Caenorhabditis elegans: one gene and its partners. The protein of the gene in region 4 interacts with the protein of the main gene of each other region in a pairwise test. Each region holds a gene or a part of one and is shown on either strand. Other genes may lie near its edges.

Evidence for each region.
Region 1: the proteins of F16B12.6 (region 4) and hlh-33 interact in a two-hybrid assay, tested with the Caenorhabditis elegans proteins (one large-scale study listed by BioGRID).
Region 2: the proteins of F16B12.6 (region 4) and ing-3 interact in a two-hybrid assay, tested with the Caenorhabditis elegans proteins (one large-scale study listed by BioGRID).
Region 3: the proteins of F16B12.6 (region 4) and sma-9 interact in a two-hybrid assay, tested with the Caenorhabditis elegans proteins (one large-scale study listed by BioGRID).

What each region holds. Positions count from the first base shown.
Region 1 is NC_003281.10:1,853,440-1,860,119, reverse strand, and holds hlh-33 (BHLH domain-containing protein), read right to left. Parts: upstream 4,729-6,680; 5' UTR 4,728-4,728; coding exon 4,478-4,727; intron 4,070-4,477; coding exon 3,939-4,069; intron 2,694-3,938; coding exon 2,541-2,693; intron 1,869-2,540; coding exon 1,680-1,868; intron 1,551-1,679; coding exon 1,348-1,550; intron 989-1,347; coding exon 853-988; intron 713-852; coding exon 551-712; 3' UTR 517-550; downstream 1-516. Other genes in the region: ddp-1 (Mitochondrial import inner membrane translocase subunit Tim8), read right to left, coding at 54-227.
Region 2 is NC_003280.10:13,874,457-13,882,056, reverse strand, and holds the start of ing-3 (Inhibitor of growth protein), read right to left. Parts: upstream 6,024-7,600; 5' UTR 5,996-6,023; coding exon 5,968-5,995; intron 5,902-5,967; coding exon 5,830-5,901; intron 5,777-5,829; coding exon 5,673-5,776; intron 4,288-5,672; coding exon 3,763-4,287; intron 2,631-3,762; coding exon 2,016-2,630; intron 1-2,015. Other genes in the region: ndub-8 (NADH dehydrogenase [ubiquinone] 1 beta subcomplex subunit 8, mitochondrial), read right to left, coding at 6,839-7,040.
Region 3 is NC_003284.9:10,771,302-10,776,119, forward strand, and holds the start of sma-9 (Transcription factor sma-9), read left to right. Parts: upstream 1-1,789; coding exon 1,790-2,353; intron 2,354-2,405; coding exon 2,406-2,561; intron 2,562-2,629; coding exon 2,630-3,167; intron 3,168-3,591; coding exon 3,592-4,043; intron 4,044-4,228; coding exon 4,229-4,304; intron 4,305-4,528; coding exon 4,529-4,818. UniProt on the Caenorhabditis elegans protein: Transcription factor, probably acting as a transcriptional activator and repressor, involved in the TGF-beta-like dbl-1 signaling pathway.
Region 4 is NC_003284.9:14,100,363-14,108,318, reverse strand, and holds F16B12.6 (DUF7747 domain-containing protein), read right to left. Parts: upstream 6,004-7,956; 5' UTR 5,961-6,003; coding exon 5,895-5,960; intron 5,726-5,894; coding exon 5,396-5,725; intron 5,342-5,395; coding exon 5,139-5,341; intron 5,092-5,138; coding exon 4,801-5,091; intron 4,736-4,800; coding exon 4,411-4,735; intron 4,364-4,410; coding exon 4,199-4,363; intron 4,150-4,198; coding exon 3,873-4,149; intron 3,807-3,872; coding exon 3,634-3,806; intron 3,375-3,633; coding exon 2,875-3,374; intron 2,820-2,874; coding exon 2,591-2,819; intron 2,541-2,590; coding exon 2,451-2,540; intron 2,399-2,450; coding exon 2,258-2,398; intron 2,205-2,257; coding exon 2,023-2,204; intron 1,969-2,022; coding exon 1,808-1,968; intron 1,733-1,807; coding exon 1,053-1,732; intron 1,006-1,052; coding exon 640-1,005; 3' UTR 406-639; downstream 1-405.

The DNA of each region.
Region 1 (6,680 bases), on a different chromosome or scaffold from region 4:
TTCAATTTTCCCATAAAATTGCAGAAAATTGCCAAATTTTCCCAAATTTTTACCTGAATACAGGTCTGAGTCTTGCCGTCCATCTTGCTTGGCGGACGGTAGTCGGCGAAGCACACATCCCAGCAGCGACCGGTGAGCGTGTGCACTTGTTCGGTGAATTTTTGACGCTGCGTCTCCGCCTGCAGTTGCTGGAGGAATCGATTGAGTTGAGGGTCGGCCGAGTCCATTTCCTGTGAGAAAAACTATAGATTTGATGGGAATTTTGAAAAAAATTGCAAAAAAATCGCTGAAAAATGATGAAAACCCAACGAAAATGATGAAAAAATAAAATAAATTAATTTCATCGCAGAGTGCGCAAGCAACAAGAGAAATGCGCCAGCAACCTCTCCTTGCGCATTCACAGTTTTCGGCGGTTTTTCAAATGATAATTAACTTCGAAATGATTTTTCCGGAAATTTCCCAGTATATTTTGCAGTATTTTAAACAAATTCCCGTCGATAATAATCAAATTTTGTAAATAAATATTTATTTTATTCATTTAAACCCATAACTATTGATTTTGAGCACCAAGTGGCCCTTGCGGGAGCATATATTGGGGGAAATTCAAAAACGGGGGGTTTTGAACGAATTGCATCAGGTTTTTCAGCTCCCCTTCTTTCGCTGAAATTCGTTTTTCCAGCAGAAGTCGCTCACTTTGTAGTCGGAGCCAAATCTGGAAAATTGATAGTAGCTGTAGTTGAAAAGTCGATAATTTGAATTAAAACCGTGTTGCAAGTGCGCTCTATTGATAAAAACTAGTTTTTAGCGATGATTTATTGATTTTACCATTAAAAATCGATAATTTTCACATACATCTTGATAACCAGGTGATAACATGTCAAATGGGTTCATTCCAAGTGTCGGAATCGGTTGAATTAGTGACGTGGACGGATGGATTACTGTAGTTGGGCTCAAAGTGCTTCTCGGAGTTGGAATAGTGCTAGTTTGGCTGAAAATTTACATAGTTTTGCAAGTTTTTTCAGAAAAATTAGAAAATTTTTTTTTTTTGAAAAAATCAATAAAATCTTACATGTTAAGAATTTTATTAACATTTTTAACTTTCGCACGCTTAGAGCTTCGGAAAAACTCCGAAATTATGTCACTGACACAGCTGAAACCAGTGCTACAGTACCCCACGTGACGGGACCCAACTTTTGAATAAATTTGTGAAAATTTGAACCCGGGCATGATGGGGGTCATTTGAAAGGTCTTGTTGAGCTAAATTTGAAATTTTCAGTTTTAAGGGTCTCGCATGGATTTTGGAGTAGATTACTGTAGGTTTTAACGTTTTTTTTTGTTAGAAAAAACCTCTTTTTCCCAATTTTCGCCGATTTTTGTGAATTTCCATCCGACTTCTCATCATCCAACGGATAACTTTCCACTATAACATTCATCGATCGTAGTCTCTTCCGTTTTGTGGGTACTGTAGGTCGGCGGGTTACTGTAGGTTTCACATTGGGTACTGTAGACGAGGTGGAGGAGCCCGGCGAGAGGAAGGAGCTTGGGGAGCTCTGGAATTCAACAAATAGTGTTAAATAATTTTTTAGAAAAAAAAGTTCCGAAAAAAAAAATTTCAATTTTTTTTTTCTCAAAAAGTTTGAAATTTCCCGCCAAACTATTAATTCTTATTAATAACTTACCACTTTCACACAATTATCCTCTTTTCGCCTCAAAAGTGCCGCCAAAATCGGGCTTTTCACCTCCAAACTCGACGGCGGGGGCGGTGTCTTCTGAAGGGGCGAAGCTAAAATGGGCGGAGCCTTGGGTACAGTAACCGGGAGAGCTGGAAGCTCATCAGGCACACAGACTAAAACTGTTTCCGTGGGTTTCTGGAAAAATTTTGATTTTTAAAAATTTCTAGGAATTTTTGAAATTTTGGAAAAAAAAATTTTTTCAATTTTTTAACAACTAATTTTTTTGGTTAAAATCACGATTTTGAGCCAAAACTCGTACATTTTCAAATTAAGCACGTCCAGAGCTTCAAAATAAGGCCCATCATGCCTATATTCCGTGAATGATTAAAATTTCGGGTCCCGCCGCGAAAACTTTCTGGGTTACTGTAGTTTGGTTGTTTTTACTGGTTTTACCAGGTTTTGCAGGTTTTCTGGGTTGCTGAGAGTAAAATTGTGATTCTCAGCTAAAAAAAAATTGACAAAATAAGTTTTTTTTGGTAAAAAATTTTGTTTAAAAAAATTTTTTTTCACAAATTTTCGAAAATCTGTAACTTTCTTAGTTTTCACTATTTTTTCTTAATTTTTTTCTTCAAAGTTAGCTCAGTGATCACACTTTTTTGAAAAAAATTGAAAAAGTTAGTTTCATTCAAAACTACAGTAACCCTGCCAGTTTTCGTGGCGGGACCCGGAAAATTCCCCCAAAATTGCGGGAACCTAGGCATGATGGGTGTCATTCAAAAGCTATTTACACGCCAAATTCAAATAAATTAGTTTTAAAGCTAAATTTTTCGAATTGTTCGAATTGAAAAAAACATTTTAATCCCAAACCTCCGCCGATTCCTTTATTCTGCACGTCATTGACTTCGCCATGAAGCTTTTGAGTTGGAGCTCATTGAGCATTTCTTTGGAAGTGAGAAATGACAGTTTGGACGTTGAATCGTAGTCCAGAAAACATCGGATATCTTTTCCAATCATACGTTTCTGAAAAAAAAAATTTCATTAAAAAATTTTTTTTTCTTTTTTAAATATCTCAAAAACTAAAACAGCTATTAAAAAGTTGTTAACTAAAAAAGTGTGTAGAATTTCAAAATGAACATTTTGTTAGTTGAAAACTTTTTGATAACCATGAAATGGGCGGAGTTACGGAAGGCAGCAGCTACGCCCATTTAATGGTTACTAAAAAGTTATCAACTAGCGAAAAATTCAAATCTTTTGCAAAAATTTTGACAAAAATTGTTAGTTTACAACTTATTTCTAGAATTTCTAACTTTAAAAAAATTTAGTTTAACAAAAAAAAAAAAATTTTTCAGAAAAAGTCCAAAAAAAAAAATTTTTTTTGAAACTTTTTTCGAAAACTTTCTAAATTTTTATACTATCTAAAATGTTATAAAACATTTTCCAACCGAAAAAATCCCAATGATTCACCAAATCCCCCCCCCCCCACCCCCGGTCCACCACCAGTTCACCTTGAAACAAGTCAGCTGACACACAGTCCGAAAAAATCGAATTTTTTTTGGGAAAAAGTGACCTTGATAATATTTCCCCGAAAATATGACGACATTTTGTTTACAAGGAACATTTAATTGGGGACGCCTGTATGGGAAAAAATTTGGAAAATTAAAAATTATAAAAAGATGAAATCCCACAAAAAAAATTTTGGGATTTTTTTTTTTCAAAAAAATAAACTCAAATATCTTCAAATCTAGAAAAGCTAGAAAAAAATTGTCAACTGAAAAAATTTGCAGATTTTTTTTCATGGTGAAGCTTTTGTCGGTTGAAAATTTTTTGATAGCCAATAAATGGGCGGAGTTACTGAAGCTTAAAGGTTGCTACCATTTAAGGGTTAGCAAAAAGTTGTCAACTAAAAAAGTGTGCATTTGATTGTCACGCCCGTCTGGGACAAAATTTGGAAAATTTTACAAAATTAAATTCCAAAAAAAATGTTTTGAGAATTTTTTTTCCCATTTTTTCTAATAAGCCTATGCCTAAGCCCAAGCCTAAGCCTAGGCCTAATCCTAAACCTAAGCCTAAGCCTACGCTTAAGCCTAAGCCTAAGCCTAAGCCTGAGCCTAAGCCTAATCCCAAAAAAATGTTTGAAGCCTAAGCCTAAGCCTACGCCTAAGCCTACACCTAAGCCTAACAATTATTTTCAGAGGCCTGTAACTCTGCCCATTTAATGGCTTTTTGAATTTTTTTTTAAATCGAAAAAAAATCAATAAAACAAACTTTTTCAATATCAAAAACTGCCTGATGGTCTCCCTTAATATCCACGACAATAAAATTGTTCAGAAAAACCATAAAACAGTTGGTCAGGCTGAAAATATCCTGGACGAGCGGGTCGGAGAGCAGCGGTGGTTCTGGAAAATGGAGGAAATTGAAATTGACTGAAAATTCCGAAAATTTCGAGATTTTCAGCTTAATGGCTTTCAAATTTGAGTTTAGCTCAATGATTGCTTTAAAATGACACCCAACATGCCTTGGTTTGAAGGTAATTTGAAATTTTGGGTCCCGCCACGAAACGGATCAGGGTTACTGTAATAGGTTGAATTTATATTTTTCTCGGGAGGAAATAGAGTTGTTTTACCGAGTTTTAGAGTAAAAAACAAAGAAAAAAGCTTTGAAAATCGAAAATTTAGGAAAAAAATTTGCAAAAAAAAAAGAAAAAATTTTCGAAATTTTTTTTCAAATTTTTTTCCAAATTTTTTCAAAATTAAAAAAAAATTCCAAATTAGAATATTATTACTAATTTGAATCTGTAGACTCACTATAATCACTATTCCGAATAATATCAACAGTACTCCCAATGATAAAGCATTTGTCCAGCTGACGAGGCTTCTGATCCACTCTTCGCAGCTTATGAGCCCGAATATCTTCGGGCAAAAGTGTCGACATTTCACAAATCACTTCATTCATCTCTTCCCTTCGTCGTTTTTCATGCTTACTTCGTGTTTCTCGCTTTTGAATAGTTTCTTTCCGAGTTCGCGGCTTTTTGCAGCTCTGCGGGGAGTCGGACATTCTGAAAAATGTACTATTAAATTTTAAAAGCTTATATCTCGGTTAATATTAAAGGTAGGGAGAAATGTTAAACAACAAAGTTATAGAGAAAAACATGATGAACATTTTGTCAGTTTACAACCTTTGGCTCAATATTAACCGAGTTATGGGCTGTCAAAGTTAGGAAAGGTCGATGCAACATGTCTAACTCTAACTTTGACGGCTAGTATCTCTGTTAATTTTGGAGATATGGAAAAGTGCTCAACTACAAAGTTATAGAGAAGTTCATAATGAACATTTTATTAGTTATCGATTTTTTGATAAAAACAATGACAACTGAGATATAAGCTGTCCAAGTTTTTGATCGATGCACCATGTCCAGTTCAACCTTTGAAAGCATATATCTGTTGAGGATATCAATAAATTTATATTAATAAAAGTATATACATAACCAAATTGTAATAAAAATTAAATTTTCTGATGAAAAGACATTTTTTTGAACTTTTTAAATTTTTTTCAAGGATTAAAAAAAAATTTCAAAAAAGTTTAAAAAAAAATTTTGGTGAAAATTCAAATTTTCTAACTTGACAAATATGTACTTTTCATTGTTTTTTTAAAAAAATTTTATTGTAAAAAATGTGTTATTGCCCTAAAGTTTCAGAAAACCCATTTAAATTTTAAATTTTTGAAAAATTTACTGAAAAATGAAATTTCTTCGGTAAAACTGTAGTATCTCAAAGAATAATTGTGCAAATTGCTTGACATTTTGTCAGAATTAGCGTTAAATATATTTTTATTTTTCTTTCAGAAAATATCAAATTTTTGATTTAAACTTTTGGAAAATGCAAAAAAAAAAAATTTAAAAATTAAAAAAAAAAATTTTCAACATTTTTATTTTCTCAATTAAAACCTAAATTTCTCAAAAACTACCAAATGAATTTTGGTGAAATTTTACCAAAATTTGCGTTAAAACTTTATCTTTCAGGCAATTTACTTTAAAATTTGACAGTTCATTTGAGTCCAAAGTTATAAGACCTCAAAGTAAGCCTACGTACAAAAATTATTTACCGAGTTGTATAAAACTTTTGTCAAAAAAAAAAATTTAGAAAAAATCGGAAAAGTGATCAGATGGCAAAAATGAATGGTCTCCGCCGTCTTCATCGCCCCCAACACTCGAAATTGCCGCATTTCTGCGTCTCTTTGATTGTGTGTACTCTCTCGTGTGCCTCGGAATAAGTTGTGTGTGTGGGGGCAGCTGGTTAGGGGAGCGTTTTTTGTATGGCAGAAAGGGACTTTCAAGGTCACTTTCTTCATTTTTCTCCCTCTACGGCTTTCATTTCTGGTTACCCCGGCGGGGAAAACAATATTTTGTAAAAAAAAAATTTTTTTTTTGGAAAATTTTTTTCCGAAAAATCAATTTTTTTTTTGGAAAACCAACTTCAAAAACGAAATCCTCGCATAATTTCCCACTATTCACATTTTTTGCCGAGTCTCTAGCTCAACTTTTGATTTTCTCTGAGTACGGTAGCGCCAAAAGTACGCAAACACCGCCGCAGCTCCTACGACAAAATGCACAGCTTCTCAGGATTTGGTAGCTGAGCTTTGGAAATTGGGTTTCCGGAGTGAAAAGAGACGTAGAATTCATATTATTGATCGAAAATTTACAGTTTTGAATGAAAACCGAAAAAAAACTACACAAAAAGCTTCAAAACGTTCTATTTCGCCCACAATTATCAAATTTCAAGTAAAATTTCCAAGAAATTCGAATTTTCCTGCATTTTTTACCTCTTAAACCATTTTTCCCGATCTTCTAGCTCAAAATTTGATTTTCTCGGGGTAATGCACAACTTTCCAAATTTCAATGTTCAGGCTCCAAAAATCGGGCCCCCGAAAAAATTGAATTTCTTCGAAATATCGATTTTTCTCGTAATTTTTCGAAAATTTCATTGTCAAATTTGAATTTCCCGCCATTTT
Region 2 (7,600 bases), on a different chromosome or scaffold from region 4:
TTTAATCTAGGTTGAAACTTACTGATATTTTTGTGGTTTTTATTACTTTTTTTATTTTCCAACAAAAAAAAACAAACAAACAAATCTACCATTTTCCCATAATTTTTTCCAAAATTTCAACAAAAAATTCTAATCTAAATTTAAAAAACATATAGCTACAAAAGTGCTATAAAAAATTTACATTTCAACCAAAAATCTTATAAACTGAATTTTCATCGAGACCATCACCAAAAAACTAATTTTTGACCAAATTGAGTGCGAAAAATCGAATTTCCATCAAGAATATTATAAAACATTTTGTTTTCTTCGAAAAAATTAGAATTTTCCAGGCAAATTCTATTTTTTGTAGTTTTTGATGAAAATTCAACTTTTTTTAAATATATTTGTGTGGCGGAAATTTACTTTTTTGCATTACTTTTCGAAGAAAACAAAATGTTTTATAATATTTTTGATGGAAATTCGATTTTTCGCACTCAATTTGGTCAAAAATTAGTTTTTTGGTGGTGATGGTCTCGATGAAAATTCAGTTTATCAGATTTTTGGTAGAAATGTTTTTTAAATTTAGATATTAGAATTTTTTGTTGAAATTTTCAGACTTTCTGTATTTTGTTTTAAAGGTTTTTGGTGTAAATTTCAGATGGATGGATGTAATTTGTAATATTTGTGGAAAAAAACTGAGTTTTCACCGAAAACAGTGCGAAAAATGAAATTTCCACATTGTAATTATTTTAAACAATTTTTTAAAAATCATGTTTTCGTGTTTTATGTTTTTTTGTGTTTGTTTCCATTTAATTTTTCTAATTTTTGAAATACTTACAGTGGAAATTCAATTTAATTTTCGAAATCTAAATTTTTCGTATTATTTCAGTTGCTTTTGTAATTCAAGAGCATGTTTTTGTGGAAAATCAATTTTTAAAAATATTTTTCTGATGAAATTTTAATTTTTCGGGATTTTTTTAAAATGAAAATTCTATTTTTTTTGTAAAATTTTTTGATAATAATACCAACAAAAAATCGAATTTTCACCAAAAATATAGCAAAGTTTTGCAATTTTTAGGTGGAAATTAATTTTTTCGCTCAACTATTTCGAATTTTTGTAACACATTTTTTGGTAAAACCGTTGAAAACGCAGAAATTTTGTTGATTTTAGCCTAAAAATAATATAAATTGCAACTTTTTCCAATTTTTTGGTGAAAATTCAATTTTTCTGAATGTTCGTGAAATTTTTCGATAAAAATGTAAAAAAAAGCAAAATTTTGCATTTTCTGGTAGAAATTATTATATATTTTTCGCAATTTTTTGGTGAAAACTTCATTTTTGTGATTTTTTCCAAGGAAACACTCTATTTAACAATTTTTAAGCATTTTGTTGTGGTAGAAATTCAAATTAAAAAAAAAATAATTTTCGGTTAAAAATTAACTTTTTTCGTACTATTTTTGAAACAAAAATTTAATTTTCGGTGCATTATTTCTGATTTCACTTTTTAAACTCAATTTTTGGTGGAAATTTGAATTTTTTGTACAATTTTCCATGAAAAAATATGAATTTTCATCAAAAATTACGAATTATTGATTTTGTGCTGGAAATTTGAATTTTTCGCTCAATTTTCGATTTTTTGAATGGAAATTTTTTTTTTTTTTTTTAATAAGATCTTTGATAATCTTTGACTAACCAAAAAAGTGAATTTTCACCGCAAATATAGCAACATGATTTTGCAATTTTCAGGTAGAAATTATATATTTTTCGCACTGTTTTCTCGTGTGAAAATCCAAATTTTTTGATTTTTTGAATGGATGGAAACTCAATTTTTCGCACTATTCGAAGAAAAAAAAACAGTAATTTTCTGCATTATTTCTGATGAAAATTCACATTTTTTAATCAATTTTTGGTAATAAAAAACAACAAAAAAAAATCTAATTTTTTTTTCGCACTATTTCTGCTGGGAATTTGAATTTTTCGCTCAATTTTCGGAGAAAAATTCAATTTTTCCCTTCATTAAAAAAGCCCACACTAACATGACGATTATCACACTGAACCATATCTCCATAGCTCTTCTCATTACAAAAACACCAATGCATCTCATCCTCCTCATCCTCCGATCCCGGAGCCATCATCGGATGGCTCCGCTTAATCCGATAACTCGGTCCTTCCTCATCATCATCCTCGGCGGCTCCTTCAATCTCCGGAAGTGGTGATTGTGGTGAAGAGCTCGTCGGAGCGTGAGCGTGCTGAGCCGCCGCCGCCAGATTCGCCGCACTCATTCTCTCCTGTAGTGCTATAATTGAATTTCCATGATTCCGCTGCCGCTGTAGAGTCTCCTTAAACATCTCCTGAACTCTACTGGTCAGCTTCCGAGTTCTACCATGACGGCTCTCAGACACCACAAACGCCGAATTCTGGAGAACTGGAGTCGTCGGCGAAACGACGATATGCGGTCCTGAGGAGAACGTCGGTGTCATCAGTAGGCTTGTCGTCGGCGTCGGTGATGATTCGTCGATTCCGGCGTTTGACCAACTACGTTCGGAGGGATTCGGTGAGAAGCGGGATGTCGATTCACCACGATTCATCATTGATGAAAGAGCACTTGGAATGGAGACTGTGCCGCGGAGAGCATTTGTGTTTGAGCGGCGCTGAAATTTGGAGAAATTAGAGAATTTTTAGTTTTTTCACTCCAAAAACGACTGATTTTCGTGAAAATAATGGCGGTTAGGCTGAAAAATCAGCCTATTTAACGGTTCGGACGATTTGGAACGTATAGACCCAAATTTTGTGCTCAAATGAACGAATTTCATACTGAAATTGCTCAAAAATTCTTCAAAAATGTTTTATGGCGCTTCAAAATTTCGAAAACTTACACTGATTTGAGTTAAAATCTCGAATTTTGGTCATTTTTCCGTGTCTCGGCTGTCCGAAGTTGGCTTTTTTTGGAAATATCATTCTTGATTGCATATATTGGTTTTAATATCTCATTTAATTTCGTTTATTAAGGTCTGTTTAAAGCCTATAGGCGACCAATTTTAATGATTTTTGGTTACCTATTGGCTTTAAATTTACCATAATCAATGAAATTAAATGAGATAAACTACCAAAATATGCAATGAAGGATGATAATTCCAAAAAAAACCAACTTCCTACAGCTGTGACACGGAAAAATGACCAAAATTCGAGATTTTAGCTAAAATCAGTGTCATTTTCGAAATTTTGAACCGCCATAAATACATTTTCGAGCAGTTTCATTACGAAATTCGTTCATTTGAGCACAAAATTTGGGTCAATAAACCGTTAGTCCTCCTGTAAATAGGCTGATTTTCCAGAAAATCATGGCGGTTTGGCTTAAAAATTAGTCAGTAAAGAGCCAAATTTCGTTTAATTTTGAAAATTCGAAACAAAAAGTTAATTTTTAGCTGAAAACGGTCCAAAATGACCCAAAAACGGCCAATTTTCGTAAATTTTATTAAAAAATGTGGCGGTTAGGCTAAAAAAATAGTTGAAAAGAGACGAATTACGCTAAAACTCGAAATTTCGTCAAATTTTTCTTGTAACAACACCCAAAAAACGGGAAAATTTTATCAATTTTGTGAGGTTTTTGTACGATCAAATTTTGCGGATTTTAGGCTGAAATTCAAAAATGTTTGAAAAATATTATTTGAAAATTCAAAATTTAGCTAAAATTCGAAATTTCGCCAGTTCTTTGAACAGGAGGCCGTGGTAGGTGGGCTCCAAATTTTGCGAATTTTCTCGAATTTTCAGCTAGCTCCTCACCCTAGCCGTCGGTGTTGGTGGCACTGGCGTCAGACAATCATCACTGGCCACCACCATCGCCGCCGACGACAGCAACAGCTGATCCTTTGCGATCTTTGGCGGGCGCCCACGTGGCGCTGGTGATGGTATAGCCGATGATAGTGCCGATTGTGCCGACTCATCGGAAAGATCCATTCGAAGACGAACACCTTCCTGAAGGATCCGCTGAATTTTGTCCTTTGATTCTTTCGATAAAAGTGGTCCCGAAGCGACTGTCGATGCTCTCGACGACGATCCTCCACCACCACCACCACCGCCCACGCGATGACGACGTTTTCGTTCTTTTCTCGCTGTGAGCAGAGATTCGACGTGTTGGGTATATCGTTTTTCGATCATTTCGGTCACTCCTGAATTGTCGGCCTCCATTTCACACTGGAACGTGGTTTTCTCCTTTTCCAAGTGAACTTTGTACTTTTTGAGGAGTTCTTGCATTTTTTCGGCGATTAGATATTTGCGTTGAGCTAGCACGCGGATTGTGGAGAATTCCTGAAGAAAATTGGTTGCAATTTTTTGGGTTTTTTCAATTTTTTTTTTGTGAAAAAGCAAATTTTTGAACTTTTTTTTTCATTTTTTAAGAGAAATTTTGCCATTTTTCAGCTATTTTTGTGATAAAAACTTTTTTTTGAGCTTATTCAACGTTTTAACGAGAAATTTTGAAAAAATGGTTGAATTCTAAAATTTTTATTGAAAAAAAAAAGCAAATTTTTGAGCTTTTTTTTACTTTTTAAAGAGAAATTCTGAAAAATTGGTTGATTTTATGATTTTTCGGGGGTTTCGACTTTTTTTTTGTTGTGAAAACAGCTAATTTTTTTTTATAATTTCGGCATTTCCTTCACTTTCAACGCGAGAAAATCTGGAAAATTGGCATTTTGGGATTTTTAAGCTTTTTTTTTTTTTAAAAGCTAATTTTTCAGCTTTTTTTTTAAAGAGAAATTAGAAAAATTGGCTGATTTTTTGGGATTATAAGGTAGTTTTGGGGGAGAAAGCTTTTAAAATTAATAGAAAATGCAAATTTAGGGTTTTTTTCCAAGAATTTCGGCAAAATTGGTTGTATTTTGAGATTTTGAAAGTTTTTTTTAGAAAACCACGAAAAAAAAATTAGAAAATGCAAATGTAAATGTTTTTTCCCAAAAATTAGTTGAATTTTCAATTTTTTTTCGTGAAAAAAGCTAAATTTTCAGCTTTTTTTTCACTTTTTAACAAGAAATTCCGAAAAATTGTCTGAATTTTGCGATTTTTTGTCCTGTTTTTTAAAAAAGATTTTCAGTGAAAAAAGGAATTTTTTCGACCGTTTTTTTCCGAGAAATTCTGAAAAATTAGCGGAATTTTGGGATTTTTTCGCGGAAAAATGCTCATTTTTTGAAAATTTCGGTATTTCCTTTATTTTTAGCGGAAAATTTTGAAAAATTGGATGCATTTTGAGATTTATAAGCGTTTTGGGCTAATTTTTGCGTTTTTAAGCTATTTTTGTGAAGAAAAAGCTTCAAAAAACGATCAAAAACGACAAAATTCTAATTTTAGGTTTTTTTCCGAAAAGGTTACAACTTGGTCGGATCTTGAGCAACTTTTTGAGTTTTTCGACCTCATTTTAGTGTTTTTAGACGTCATTCACTTTGAGTATTTTTGAGCACTTTTGGTGTTTTGTGGGAAAAAAAAGCTTAAAAAGTGAAAAAATGACATCAGGCAAAGTACAAAAAAATCCCATTTTTTCTCATTTTTCTTCACGAAAAAGCTAGAAAAACGGGTTTTATAGCGAAATTTCTCATTTTTCACGAATTTTAGCCGTTTTTGTGGCAAAAATCAACTTTTTCCTGCGTTTTCGTGTCAATTTGCTGCCAAATTCGAGTTCCAGGAATTTTCATGAAATTCACCTCCTGCAAAACCTTGCAGCGCTCCTTTCTCTGCTCCTCGGGCATATTTACGCCGGTTCTCTCGAAAAAATCGTTGATCGCCTCTCGATTACGGTTTAGACGGGCTAAAAATTCGAAAAAATGAAGGGAAAAATTCAGAAAAATTTCGAAATTTTACATTCAACTTCATTGTCGATTCGCCGAATTTCATCGCTTCTCTCCTTCAGCTCGGCAGGCAGCTCATCGAGCACTGGAAAACGTTGAAAATTTGGGTGTTTTTATAGGGGAAAAGTTTGCAACAAAAAAAACCACTTACTTTCTAAAAAATCATCGAGGAAGAGCATTTTGTGCGGGGGCGTCCAGCGCCGAGTTCTGAATTTTTTTTCCAAATAATTAATTAATTAAAAGTGGAGTAGCGTAGCGCCAGTGGGAAAATTGCTTTAAAACACGCCAAATTCAAAAAAAAATTTCTAAATTTTATATGATTTTTTGAAAATTGAAAAAATCTCAGTTTTTACCCCTAATTCCTATTTGAATTTCCGCCAATTGAACTCGTTCGTTGGAGCGCCGCGCTTGCACGTTTCTAAATTTATTTATTTTTTGTTATTTTCCACCGATTTTTAATGTTTTCGGTGTATTTTTGCTTGAATTTTAGAGAAAAAGTCGAAATAAATGCAAATTTTCGAATAAAAACCATGCGTACAGACCGAAATCAGTGAAATTAATTAATTTTGTCATTTTTACGCCTGTAAGCGTGCTTTTTAATCGAAATTTAGCATTTATTTTGACTTTTTCTCTAAAATTCATGTAAAAATACACCGAAAACTAAAAAAAATTGAAAATCGGTGGAAAATAACAAAAAATAAAATAAATAAACTTAAAAACGTGCAAGCGCGCTCCATCGAACAAATCCAATTAGCGGTAATTCAAATAGGAATTAGGGGTGAAAACTGAGACTTTTTCAATTTTCAAAAAATCATATAAAATTTAGGAATTTTTTTTTCAATTAGGCGCAATTTTAAGCAACAAAAAAAACGAATTAATAGGTATAAAAGCGTTAAAAACGCTGAAAAAAGGGCAAAAAAAAGGCAAAAAAAAAAATGATAAAATTCGAATATTTTATAGTACAAAAAAGGAGAAAACGGAGAAAACTACCAAAAAAAAAACAACCGAAACTAAGGAATTTTCTATTCCAAATCAAACGAATAGTTGACAATTGGGTATTTGCGTGGATCGTCGAACGGGTAGGCACGGTAGAAATCGTATGAATACTGCTTCGGCATTGCCGGATTCTTCCAACGGAGCGCGTTCGGATGTTCGTTGGTAAAGTACCAGGCGAGGAGAGCCATCGGTACGAGCACGCGGAGGCACATAACGATCGAGTTCCAGCTGAAAATTGGATAAATTAATTAGAAAAAAAAAACAAAAAAAAACAGCCTAAAAATCCGAAAATTAAAAAAAAATCGCAAAATTTAGAAAATCCACATTTTTTTCACCGAAAATACTAAAAATCGCTGCAAAAATTCAAGAAAATCCGAGAGATACGAAATCGATAAAATCGGTAGATTTTTTCGCTAAAAATCGGTGAAAACCCGTAATAAGAGGCAAGAAAATCAGTAAATAATTTGAAAAATGTCAAAAAAATTTCCAGGAAATCGAACGAAAATTCTCAATTTAGTGAAAAAATCTCAGAAAATCAACTGAAAAATCCTTTAAAAAATTTAAAAAACCTGTGGAAAATCCGACGAGAAATTCAAAAAAAATCAATGAAATTTCAGGAAAATCAAAAAAAATTCGTCATTTTTTTAGCCAAAATACGAGAAATTCCTCTTTTTTTCAAAAAATTATGAAAAAAACTGCCTAAAAATACGAAAATCCACTTTTTTAAGGGAAAAAATTCGGAGTTTTATCAGAAAATCGGGGAAAATTATGAAAAACTTAAGTTTTAG
Region 3 (4,818 bases), 3.3 Mb from region 4:
CCAAAGTGAGGGAGAAAAAGAGAGAAAAAGAGTGAAAGAGTGCTTTTCTGTGCACACATATCACTTGGTCTGTTAGTGTCATGGGACCCCGGGGCATTTCCTCCTGTTTATCGTTTTCTCTGGGTTCAAACGAGAAAGGATCTTTCGGAATTGTCAAGGCTCAAGCATCTCTTCTGAGCCAATGAGTGTTTTTTCTCTTTATCACAAATGTCTTTTACTTTTTACACGCTTTTTACAAGATTTGAATGATTTGTTTCCGAAGAGATAGAGAAAATAAAGATATTAATCATGAAAACTTGTTAATAGAGTACCGTAATTGGTGAGGTTTAGCTTATTTGAGTGCAGAAAAATTTAAATCTTGAAGTTTTCTTGGCGAAAAATTAAAAAAAAAACAGCAGAACTGTGAAATAAATATTTGCAGCTACCAGATACATCTATTTTAGTCATTTGAATTATTGAGAAAAACAGACTACATAAATGAACTACAGTATACAACTTGAATTAAAAAAGGAGTTTTTGACTGAAAAATAACCATTTTCTAGCTTTAATAGACATAGTTTTTGGCTTTGATTTTTTGTTAACGAAAGCAACTAGAAAACATTCAAATTTCAAATGTATTTAGTCATTTTCTGCATATCAAAACTATTTTTTTAAACCTGATGCTCCAAGTGTTTAGTTAAATTTATATGTAATAAATAATTTTGTTTTCCATTAATATCAGTTTTGATAAAACTAAAGTAATACAGTAGTTATCCACCACAATTTGGTGCCCTGATTGTCCTCTTAATATTTTAATTGTACGAAATTTTGCCATCAACCAACCACACTCACTTTTTTTGGTAACTTTTCTTCCCATTTCTCTACTTCTCTTGCATTTTGTTATTTCACAATAGTCCACTCTATCTTCTTTTTCCAATGTCCCTCTCAAATCATTCGCGCCCTGTTTAGCACCCATAGAGTCATTGATCACTTGGCCAACAGCCGGTCTCCCGGTAATGATAACGGGAAAAGTCAATGAACATTGAGTGAGAAAAAGAAAGAAAGAGAGAGAAAAGGACAGAGAGCAGCAAATGTGTATGTCACACACTCTTTTAGTCTCATAGAATACTAATCGATCACAATCACAAGTTACAAAGAAGTGTTGAACATTTTCAAGAGCTGCAAATCTGTGATAAGGTGACGAAGAATTGAGGTGACGTACTCTTTTCCCGTTTTTTTAAATTGTGATAGTGTGAGTGAAAAGATTGCGCGAGTAATGGGTAACCGTTTCGAAGACTGAACTGCATTCATGAGAGCCTCCAATCTGTTGCAGGAGTCAAAGTGAGGCAATTTGCGTCTTGATTTGATATGAATAGAAAAAGAATGAACGACAATATATTGTCTTCTGTTTTGATTAATGATTTATTTCAAGACATTGTATACAGTCTTAAAAACATTTGGCAACGGTTTTAGTAATTGTTATTTTTATTCCCCTTCATTCATTGTAATGAAACATATTAGAGAAATCAGTATGAATCAAATCAGAACGACGTTTGAATTGATAGGAATGAAGAAAAAACGTGACCACTCTTCCCCGAATCATTAAAAGTGAACCTTGTACCCAGTTTGCTGTAGACAAGTAACTTTCATGCTAATTATGGTCTCATGTGAACGTCACATGGTTCCAATCACTTTCTCATTATTTTTTGTAATACGTCTTCATCTCTCATTTTCCCCCTTATCTCACTTTGTTTTACGATGAACTTAACTTACATGAATCAAACTTAAAAAGTGGTTTTAGAATTGGCGAATGAGCCATCAGGCAATTGGAATCTCGAACAACTTTCAGCAGGTACAACGTGAGCAGCTAAATCATCAACGATTATTACAAGCACAGCTCCAGACTAATGGACCTGGAAGTGTTTCTCAGCAGCAGCAGGCTTCGCAGCAACAACAGCAAGTGCAGCACGTCCAGCAGCAACAACAGTCGCAGCAGCAACAGCAACAAGTTGCTTCACAACAAAACCAGCCGCAATTGCAAATGAATGCTCAGATACTGCAAGCTTTGTCAACACCACAAGGACAAAATTTAGTTAACATGCTTTTGATGCAACAGGCACTTAATGCGCAACAGACTGATACTCAGAATCCACAACAAATTATGCAACATCAATTAGCTCAACAGCAGGCACAACAAGCTCAGCAAGCTCAACAAGCGCAACAAGCTCGACAACAGGCAGAACAACAAGCTCAAGCCCAAGCTCGTCATCAAGCTGAGCAGCAGGCTCAGCAACAGGCACAGCAACAGGCGCAGGCACGGCAACAAGAACAACAAGCTCAATTAGCAGCTATTCAACAGCAAGTCACGCCACAGGTTTGTGTTTAGTACAAAATTGATAATTCGAAACTTTGATTTTTATTTTAAGCAATTTGCTCAAATATTGCACATGCAACAGCAGCTTCAACAACAGCAGTTTCAACAACAACAGCTCCAGCAGCAACAACTTCAGCAGCAGCAACTGCAACAGCAACAACTTCAACAACAACAGCTCCAGCAGCAACAGTTACAACAGGTTCTACAGGTGAGTTGACACAGAAATAGCATGTTGATAACTTGAAATTGGCGTTATTTTATTTTTTTTTTCTTCAGATCTCACAAGCCCAACAACAAGCTCAACAAGCTCAGCATGTCCAGTCTAGACAAATGCAGCCGTCCCAACAGAGCCAGGTACAGGCGCAACTCCAGCAGCAACAGCAATTGCAGCAGCAACAAGCTCAGCAGCTTTCACAGCAGCAGGCGCAGCAGCAACAACAATTACAACAGTTACAACTGCAGCAATTTCTTCAACAACAGCAACAGCTTCATCAGCAACGTGCGGCTGCCCAACAAGCTCAGGCTCAGAACAATGCTTCACAACAACGCCCGTCGGTTGCATCGACGCCTGCATTGTCTTCAACTCCACAGTTGAATGATCTTACACAGACAATGCAAGCCCAGCTTCAACAGCAACTGCTTCTCCAACAGCAACAGGCTCAGGCTCAACAAGCTCAACAAGCTCAGCAAGCACAACTAGCTCAACAGGCTCAACAGCAACAGCAAGGGCAGTCTCAAAATAGAACAGTTTCTCAAGCACTGCAATATATTCAGTCTATGCAACTGCAGCAAAGAGCCGATGGAACCCCAAACGGTACGTTTAAATTTTGTATTTTTCTCTGTTTTCATTTTCTCACGTTCACACGCTTCACAACTCTGTGTCTGTTTCCCTTCTCTGTTTTCCCAGTTTCTCCCTTCCCGTTTTCCATCGTTTCCCTTTTTTGCCAGTCCACATACGTTCAACCACACAACCACACCACAACTCTTTGAAAATTATCCGATATACGTATATGACATCAAAAATATCATAGAACATTTTGTTTCCATTTGTTTTTTTTTGAAATATGCATGCAAATAGATAGTGTGTAAACCAACAATAATTAGAAAGTGATAAAGAATGAGATTTTTGTAACCATTACTTCAGCTTTTCTCCTGAATCATCTTCTTCTCTTTTTCTGTGCACCACCTTCTAACCATTGGTTGTTCAAACACGCTTACCCAATATTTTTCCCCTTCAGCAGAGTCACAAGAAGAGAGGTTGGCTCAAATGCTGAACGAACAACAGCAGCGGATGCTGCAAAATCAGGCGCGCGAGGCACAACATCGTCAGTTGCTCATTTCTTCGACGCCTGCTCCTCGAGGTGGTATCACCATGGGAACTCCAATTGGTATTGCAAGGAGAGAAGAGCAGCCGGTACCGTCTACGGTGGCGGTAACGACGGCACCGGCTGCAGTCCGCACGCCTGTTGCTGTGCCACCTATGAAACAAAATTCTAACCCTTCCATGAATCCATCATCCACATCTACGTCTGCATCTGCCACAAGCAGTCATCAGATTTTAGCCCCCTCGCTCTCCAAACCACTTGAGCAGCCTTCCTCGTCGAAGGCCGCATCGTCTGGCAACGAGTCGATGTCGGACCACATCAGCCGAATCATCTCTGAGAACGAAGTCATTCTTCAAGGAGACCCGGTGAGTGCCGAATTCTTCTAGCGTGATGGGTTTTCTTTTTTTGAATAATTCGCCCCCTGGAGTTTGATGAAATGATACGGAAACAATACCAGACCAAAATAAAACAAAACCTTTCATGTTTTTATTCATAATTTCAAATCTCATTTGTCCTTCTGTTTGACGTCTTCGAATCTGTCCATTTACAGGTGATTCGCAAAAAGCGGCCATACCATCGGCAAATAGGTGCGCAATCCTCGGTCGATCACGACAGTAATAGTGGTGGTGAGTTGTGGTGTGGTTGAGTTTCTTGAAAGCATCGCTCCATTACCCTTGTCCTTCTATCCCAAGACAAGATATTGTCTCCTTCTATTACTCGCCCCAACGTTTCCGCTATACCGTCTCGATTTGCATGCCAGTGCGTGTCTGCACGTGTCCATATCTGCATATTATATATTGATGAATATTGTGATTGTCCCGTTTGTCCCTTAATGTTTTATATTTTTCAGGATCAACAAGAACTTCGCCTGGGCCAAAAGACAGTCGTATGTTGCAAGCTGCTAGTCGGAGCCAGAGTTTATTCGAGCTTAGTGGATCAAAACATTTCATGGGCAGCTTGACTAGTGGTCAGCCATTGCTTCGTCCGATTCAGGCACATAATGATCCTAACTACACACCGGAGTGTATATACTGCAAACTCACGTTTCCCAATGAAGCTGGTCTCCAAGCTCACGAAGTTGTTTGCGGAAAGAAAAAAGAGCTAGAAAAAGCACAAATAGCACAAGAAGGAAACCCGCAT
Region 4 (7,956 bases):
GACTTTTTTTCAATTTCTTTGAAATAAATGGCTATCATTGAAGACCGGTGAGTACCCTGCACATAAAGTGACGTGTTTGAAATTTTTTACAGAACCTGGAATCTAGGTCACAGAGTTGTTTGTAGTAACGGACTTGAAACATTAGGGATTTGCTTAACCAAATTTTACCTTTCAGATGTTTCTGTTTCGGGTGAAAATACAGACCAATAACTGGTTTTCATGGGGGTTGTATGCTCCTTTGCAGCTGGGGCAAACATAAAAAATTACGGAGCTTGGAAAATTTGGCAAATCTACTTTTTTGAAATTTACCGTGTTTGGCAAATTTGCCGCACATCCATGCTTTGCACCTTACATTAAAATGTTGTTATTCAGATATTCAGCCGAATACCTTTTTTTAAACTACTATGCATTATTATAACTTCATCTGTGTCAGTGTATTATGTTTGATTTTCAATTTGCTGAGAACAGAAAAAAGATCACCTTGTCATTCTATAGTGGCAAAAAACATTTGGTGTAAAACGGAATAATAGATAGATATGACATAACACGGATTTTAAAGGGTAAAACAATATTATAAGATCAATTTAATTTACAGTTATATGATTTTTCGAACAATGTCTGTTCCAGTTAATCATAATTTTAAACCATAGGATCTTCTGGGGCTTCAATAACTTCATGTTCCAAATGGCCTTGTACTTCAGGATGTTCAATGTGTTCCTCGTGTCTTCCCAGTTCCTCGTGTCCGACAAGATGATTACCAGGATGCACAACAAGTTCTTCTTGCATGTATTCGACACCTTCCTCCACAATCTCTTGGTCGCCAGAGAAAATGTCCACGTGGAATGTCTCATTGATCATTTGGAGCAAGCGCTGCTCGTTCTTTTCGTATAATAGTCGGAACAAGCTGTCAAAAGTGTCATCAATGCACTCCGAACCAAACTGTTTTTGCGCAATTCGCCAAAGAGCATCATATCGCTGAGATCCACGAACAAATCCAGCAGTAGTCTGAAAATTGAGAATTTAAAAAACGAATCAATTATACAAACACTAACCACGCTTTTCTCCAAAAATGGATTTCTTCTCATCATTGATTGCCCATAGACGTCTCCAACTTCTTCAATGTGCTCGACAATCATGTCTCCTCCAATCATCATTTCGTGACCCATGATTGTTTTTGGAATTTGCTCTTCAATCACCACCTCTTCCACAGTCTCAGTTTTAGCCGATGTCGATGGTCCTGCACCATCAGCTCCGGTCCATTCAGTGACAAAAGTGTCGTTGTCAGCATGAGAACCAGAAAGTTCTCGCCGTTTGAGACTGAACAACATATTTGGACTAATATGAATTCCATGTTCCTGATGAATTATCTTCGCTGTTTCATTTACTGGGGCAGTTTTCAGCAAATGGAACACATCCTCTCTGATGTTTGATGGAAGGCTGCTGAACCATTCATCAGTCGAAGGTTGAATAGTCTTCTGAATTGGCTGTGGCACAGCTCCGGGCTCAGTGTAGCTGTACATGATCAAACCGTGTCCATACTGGTTTCCGTCTCGTTGCACATAGACAACTTTTTTGCGAAGCCGTGTGCAGCGGGGCAATGTTGCAGTGTAAATGTGCAACTGGAATTCAATCGGATCCACGGCCAGAGCATTCCCCTTGCAGACTCGCAGTTGATTGTGACGATTGAATCCGAGCGGAGTTTTTGATGATTTCGGCCTTTTGGTTATTCCATCTGAAACTAATGGAGCTTGCGGGAAGTTACTCAACACGTCTATGAAAATTTTTGTAAAAAATTCATAAGACTTACGAGGATTAGAGCAAGTGTTTTCTGACCACGGAGTCAGTTTATCTGTGGTCAATGATCTAAAGTTGACTTCTTCTCCGTTCACAAAAAAGACAAATGTTCCTTTTCCAGTTATCGATGGTGGAAGATCGGGAACTTTTGTGTTGAGGCATCCGAGTTGTTCACTGAAATTACTTTTTTTAAGCTTAGCTTTTCTATTTTTCTTTCAATCAACTTACACCAAATCAGATTGATTGACCAAGTACTGAATCTGTCGGTTCCGGTCATTCCAGAATTCCAAGTCATCGAGCTGTAGGTAAAACGTCCCATCAGCAGCAGTCTCTGCAGGCAATATGAATGGGCAATCTCTGCTCTCTTCGCCTTCCGAGACATCATTCATCAAATCATGCTGCATATGATTCTGTAATTATTGTATTGTTATTAAGTCAAAATCTTATGATGTTAGAAACATACGGTTCTAGCGTAACTCCTCTTAGTGAGTGGCTTGTATTGGCCAGCGTTGAGACGTGGGATGTTGCCTTCATGGTTGTAGTCGTACATAATCAATGCATGACTGACAACCATTTTTGATTGGGTTTCCATCAGGTAGTAGATCTGAAAACCAAATTATTAGTTTATAAAAATCAAATAACATTGTTTAAAACACCTTTTTTCGCAGTCTAGGCTCCTTTGGATTAATCGAATACAAGTAGACGAGATGGAATGGACAAGTTTTGTAGTTGGTATTTTCTTTCAGCTTAAAAACAGTTTACGTTTAAAACAATAGTGCCAGTAAATATTCCATACCAAAAACGTTGAATTTTGAGGATCGCAAATCACTCCAAGCTTTCGAACTTTTGTACGATAGCAGGTCGGCTGATCAGGCGTTCCGTTGCGAGACCATGGTGAGAAGTCGTCGCGATTAATGTCATGGGGGAATATGGCAGTACCGGCTACAAAAAAGGCGTAGGCCCTAGAGTTGGTGACCAATGGTGGGTGAGACGGTTTCGTGTCGTTCAGGACACCACGCTCCTCACTGAAATATTTGAAAATAGTTGAAAATCAAACTGATTACATTTTCAAGAACTTACACAATGTTCGAATTTGCAATCCATTCGAGAACATGATCCATGACGGTAACCAACTTTTTATGACGAACAGTCAAGTATACGTGACCCGTTGACAAAACACGGGGCTCATCATAGTATGCATTCGGATTCTCGGCTTTATCAATCGGATCATCATTGAATTCTGGATCAAATCCGTTGTTCAGCGTATCGGGATACGTTAGAAGGTTCTCCATCTGATCATCCTCCTGCTGAACGAGCATTTCCTTGTGAACGTCAACGACATCAACGATTCCGTCATCGTCAACAGGAATCATATCATATGAATCCTGCTCTACCATCATGTGAGAGTGCATGTCCATTGAATTGACCGGCTTTTTCAGTGGTGATCCTCCTGACCATCTACTGTAACTCTTCGCGTCCAATGGTGGGTAGAAGGTTGGCAACGGACCGTCGTAAACAAACTCATACGTGTAGCAGACATTTCCATGAATAACAGCGCCGGCTTGTTGGATATAGAAAACCTGAAATGATTGAAGAATTGCAATGTACAATATTTTTTATGACATTATTTATGACTACTGCACTATAATTTCAGTTCCGTCAACGGTCTGATAATTTAGCAGCAACAACCCCAGGTGGTGTATGCCCTTTCATTTTGTTAAATATTGCACAGCGTGTGGTGTAGATTTACGACGCAAAATTTAAGTACGCAAATTTAAGTACGCAAACTTAAGTACGCAAATGTGCGTCGTGGTACTTGCGGACTGTTGGTTAACTTACCCTCTTTCTCACTCTTTTGCATCTGGCAAGTGTCGACATTGTCTCTACGAGAATATAGTCGGATGGAGTTTTCTGGTCTCTTGATACCATAAAGTGATTGTGAGCTTCGTCCAATATCAAGTTCTTCTTTGTTGACCGCACACGCACTGTCGGTGTTCCTTCGCCAGCGCCTGCTGAAATTTATCAAAATTAAAACGGTTAAACGACCGCATATTGGTGCTTCGCAAACAGCAACTCACGATTAGTGGTCCATGGAGATAAGCCATCAGCAGCGTGGTGAATTTGGTTGACAACATGACAGGCCGGAACAAAATATGCAAAGACTCCGACCGTCTCAATCAGTGGCGGAAGATCTGGGAGGCGATTGTTTAGAGCGCCAAGTTCATCCAGAATGTCAACTTTATTGAATAAATAATCCAGCAAGTTTTTCTTGTTCTGAGCCCATCCCAATTTGTTCGGACGCAACCTGAGGTAGACTCCAGCTCCACGGGTTCCTTCTATGCGTTGCGGCTCAAACTGAAAGCATAAAATTATAAATGAGGTAACCAATTATATAATTACAAACCGGCAAATCATTGTCAAATCCATCTTGATCATCTGTGACTGCTCTTCGCAGATGATCATTGCCATGAGGAAGGCATACTGGGATTGGGGCATTTCCTGGATTCACATAATCATACAGAATAAGCACATTTCCAAAGATTTGATTGTCACGGGTCAGGTAGAAAATCTGGAAAGAAAATCAATGTTGTGTTCAAATATCTTCAGTTTAGCTACCTTTTTTCTCAGTCTCTGCTCCCGAGGTAATCTAGCGCTGTACTCCGTTAAGTGATACTCAGCGAGACGTGTCTCATGCTTGACTGTCTTCAGCTCGCCATTGAGTCGAGCCACCGGGTGTCTTCGAACATTTGGCTTGATTGTGTTTGGGCCGCCAGTCGTGTTCTGATGATCATTTGTCACACTCCACGGACGGAGGTCATCGTTGGAGAGATCTTTAGCATTTTTCTGCTGACTACCATCCACGTAGAATGCGAAGCATACTTTGTCGGTGACAAGTGGAGGAAGACGTGGTGGTCTTGGAAGAAACCATCCTGCTTGCTTTCTGAAAATTTATAATGTGCTTAGATTATTGATATCGCATTGCAACAGTTGTCATTTTTCACTTACATCAACTCAATTTCGTCCGGGTTTGTGAGGAGATCAATAATCCGCTCCTTTCTCAGCAGCTCAGTCAGGCACCCATTCACCACGGTTGCATAGGACTCTCCGCCGGGGGTTGTATCCAACTCTTCCTCAAATAGCTTAATATGCCTTTGATTAGCAGTGGCGGTTCTAGCAGCAACTGGCTCAGTTGGTGGGGCTCGCTGAGCTTTTGAAGCTGGACGGGTCAGTTTCAATTTAACATTGGTCTCCAGCTGCTCTTGTGGTCGACGTGGACGTCCTCTTCGCTTGCTCAATCTGTAAAAAAAATTAAAGTTTTGTCATTACATAATGGATTTACGTACGGGTGCCTTTCAAGATCTGGAGGGTGAGCAAAGTCATTAACACTATAGTCTTCGTCGCTTTCCCTGTAACTTTCAGGTTCAGTTTCAAAAACAGTAGATGGCCCGAGCACTGGAGGTCCTTCGTCATTGTGAGGAACCTCAAATTCCATTGCAACTTCCAGGTTGGCTCCATCAGTCATCAACTGATCATCGAATTTTGGAGTCTGTAATTAAGAAAAAAGGATTATTTAAGAACAAAGGTTTTCTGTGTTTCTCACTTGATTTGAGTTCGCCCTATGTGCAACTGGTGTCTCCATCATTTCAGCAACATGAGGAGGAATCTTTCTTCTTTTCGCTCCTTTCAGCATATCAGGCATCATAGCAGTTGAGTTTTTATCGGTTCCAGTAGATACCTCTGAAACAGCACTGGTCCTATTTGGAGTTCTTGAAACTGATGGAGTCCGTTCGGGAGGTGCAGCAGGCGCTGAATTCACAAGCTCATAGTTCTCGTTGTCGTATAGAGTGTTTTTGCGAATATTTCGCCGTGGTCTGGACGATTGTACAGTGGTGTCCTTTGCAGATTCCTCAGGACACATCGGCAGAGGTTTCTGAATTTTATTTTGTGTTGCATTTTTAGCTTCATCTGTTTTTTTTTGTTTTCACAATTCTCTCATAATGCTTCGCAACTTTAAATTGAGAGAGAATTTTTCAATGGCGTCATTATCGGTGTCTACAGACTAAAAATTGCGGAAATTTTCAAAGCCTAAACAGTTTTACCTCTTCTCCGGCTGGCGTTTCTTCGGACGGTTGTGCAGCACTTTTTGTTGAGTTTCGGCGAGGCATTTCTAAACTGAATAAGTTGAAAATTGACAAAAAATAGCTTGAAATATGAAAAAAAACGATGTGAAAAGAAGGAAAGAATAACTGGCCGGCTGACGCGCAAGGCGAGTGGCGAGAGAGCGCGTTAGATGACAAAACGAGGTAAGAGAGTGTGGTAAACGGAGAGACCGTTCACTTGCTGTTTCGCGCGCATTCACACCCCTCTCCCTATCGGTGTGAGTTGGAGCGTATTTGCATTGTTTGTTGGTGATCGACAATGTTGGGCAATTGTCGAAGAATCAACCCAATAAATTTAGCAGAACTTAAATAGGGCTATGTGGTGAGGATGATAAACTTGTATGTGTAATTTGAGTGACAAGATTCAAAAATCTTACGTATTTTTCTACAAACCTTCTTTAAATTTACAATTTTTGCATCCTAAATGTGGTACTAATTAAATTGGGCGCCCTCCTTTCACAAATAGAAAAGTCTACAAAAAAAGAAAACTCACGTTCACACGTTTCGAGTACAATTGACATTTGGTTTAAGTTGTGATTGCCATTATTACTCATTAATTTTAAAAAAATCCTCAAAGTGCAAGATAAGTAAATTTAGCAACAGATAATGCAACAGATGTGCTCCATAAAAAACTTTTATGGCAAAATTTAGAAAGTTGTAGGGAGATTAATATTTTGACACCCAAGACTACACAAAGTATGTACTTTAAAAACCCATAATTGTTTTCATTAGTAACATTTATAAAACATGTTTAAAAAATTTATTCTAGATTAACTGACAATTGTTAAACTGCAAAGGAGGTGGTTAAAGAAGTTTCACATTGCATCATAGTCTTCTTCGTTGAAGTAGATATTGAATTTGTCGATCAACTTCTAAAATATAAAATTATCATTGTTTTTCGAAATTAAATCAAATTGAAACCTGTTGATCCTCGTCCAAAGAAATGTCGAATGTAGCTTTTGGTGGAACATGCTTTCTGAAAATGGCAGTGAAAATTTTATTTACATGCAATTTTAAATTTTTTGATGAAATCTGATTTTTTTATCTTTAAAAACATATTAAACTAACTTATTTTTCAACGCTTTTGACATAGCTTTATCCAAGACAAACAGCTGCTTCACTGCTTCATAATTGGGTTCATCTTTGAATTCGAGCATGCGGCACGATTGAAGCATATCGTTAATCGGCTGTATTCCACAAAGTGAACAACTTTTTTGATTGCCTTGTTTCAAGTTGAAATAGTTTCTATGAGTATCATCATTGTTCACACTCCGTCCTTCTTTCCAGCACATAGTGAGGTCAAGTATTTTCCTCAAAGAATAAACCAAGGACTCCATGTCATCTCTTCGGGTATTTCCTGTAATTAGATAGTTCGAACAAAAAATATTTGGTTTAACCTTTCGTCTTGGTATTGTTAATAGAATTTTTTTTGAAAAAGCTGAATTCTCAATCAGAAGTGCTGATACAAAAGCAAACAAAAAACTCTTACCAAAACATTGTTCATGGTGCTGATTGGCACTCATGTAAACATAAGTTCCTTTTCGATAATGGCGATTATGTACCTCTCGGTGATTTCCTCTATCATCAAGAAACGATTCTGCTAATCCAAAGTCGATGAGCTAAAGGTATAGTTATATTGACTATATGTGTCAAATTGTTCAAATAATCATGAGTTCACAAAACATTTAAGGTAGAAGTAACATACATTAAGCTGATTCTTTTTTTCATTGAGACCAAATGCAAAATTTGCTGGTTTTATATCACAGTGAACGATCCCCCTATCATGTATTGTGTGAAGCAAATCGATCATTTGTCTTGCCAAGTGAAAAGCTTCCGGAACTTCCAGTTTTCCGCCGTACAATTCAGCATACTCAAGTAAGTTTAATCCCAATAAGTCGAGTTGCAAAATAGTTGCGTTTTGCTCTGTCCGGCGGATAGCAATCTGGAGGTCACGAGTTCAAATCCGGTCTCACCCCCTAGGTTCACCCAGCCTCTATTTGGA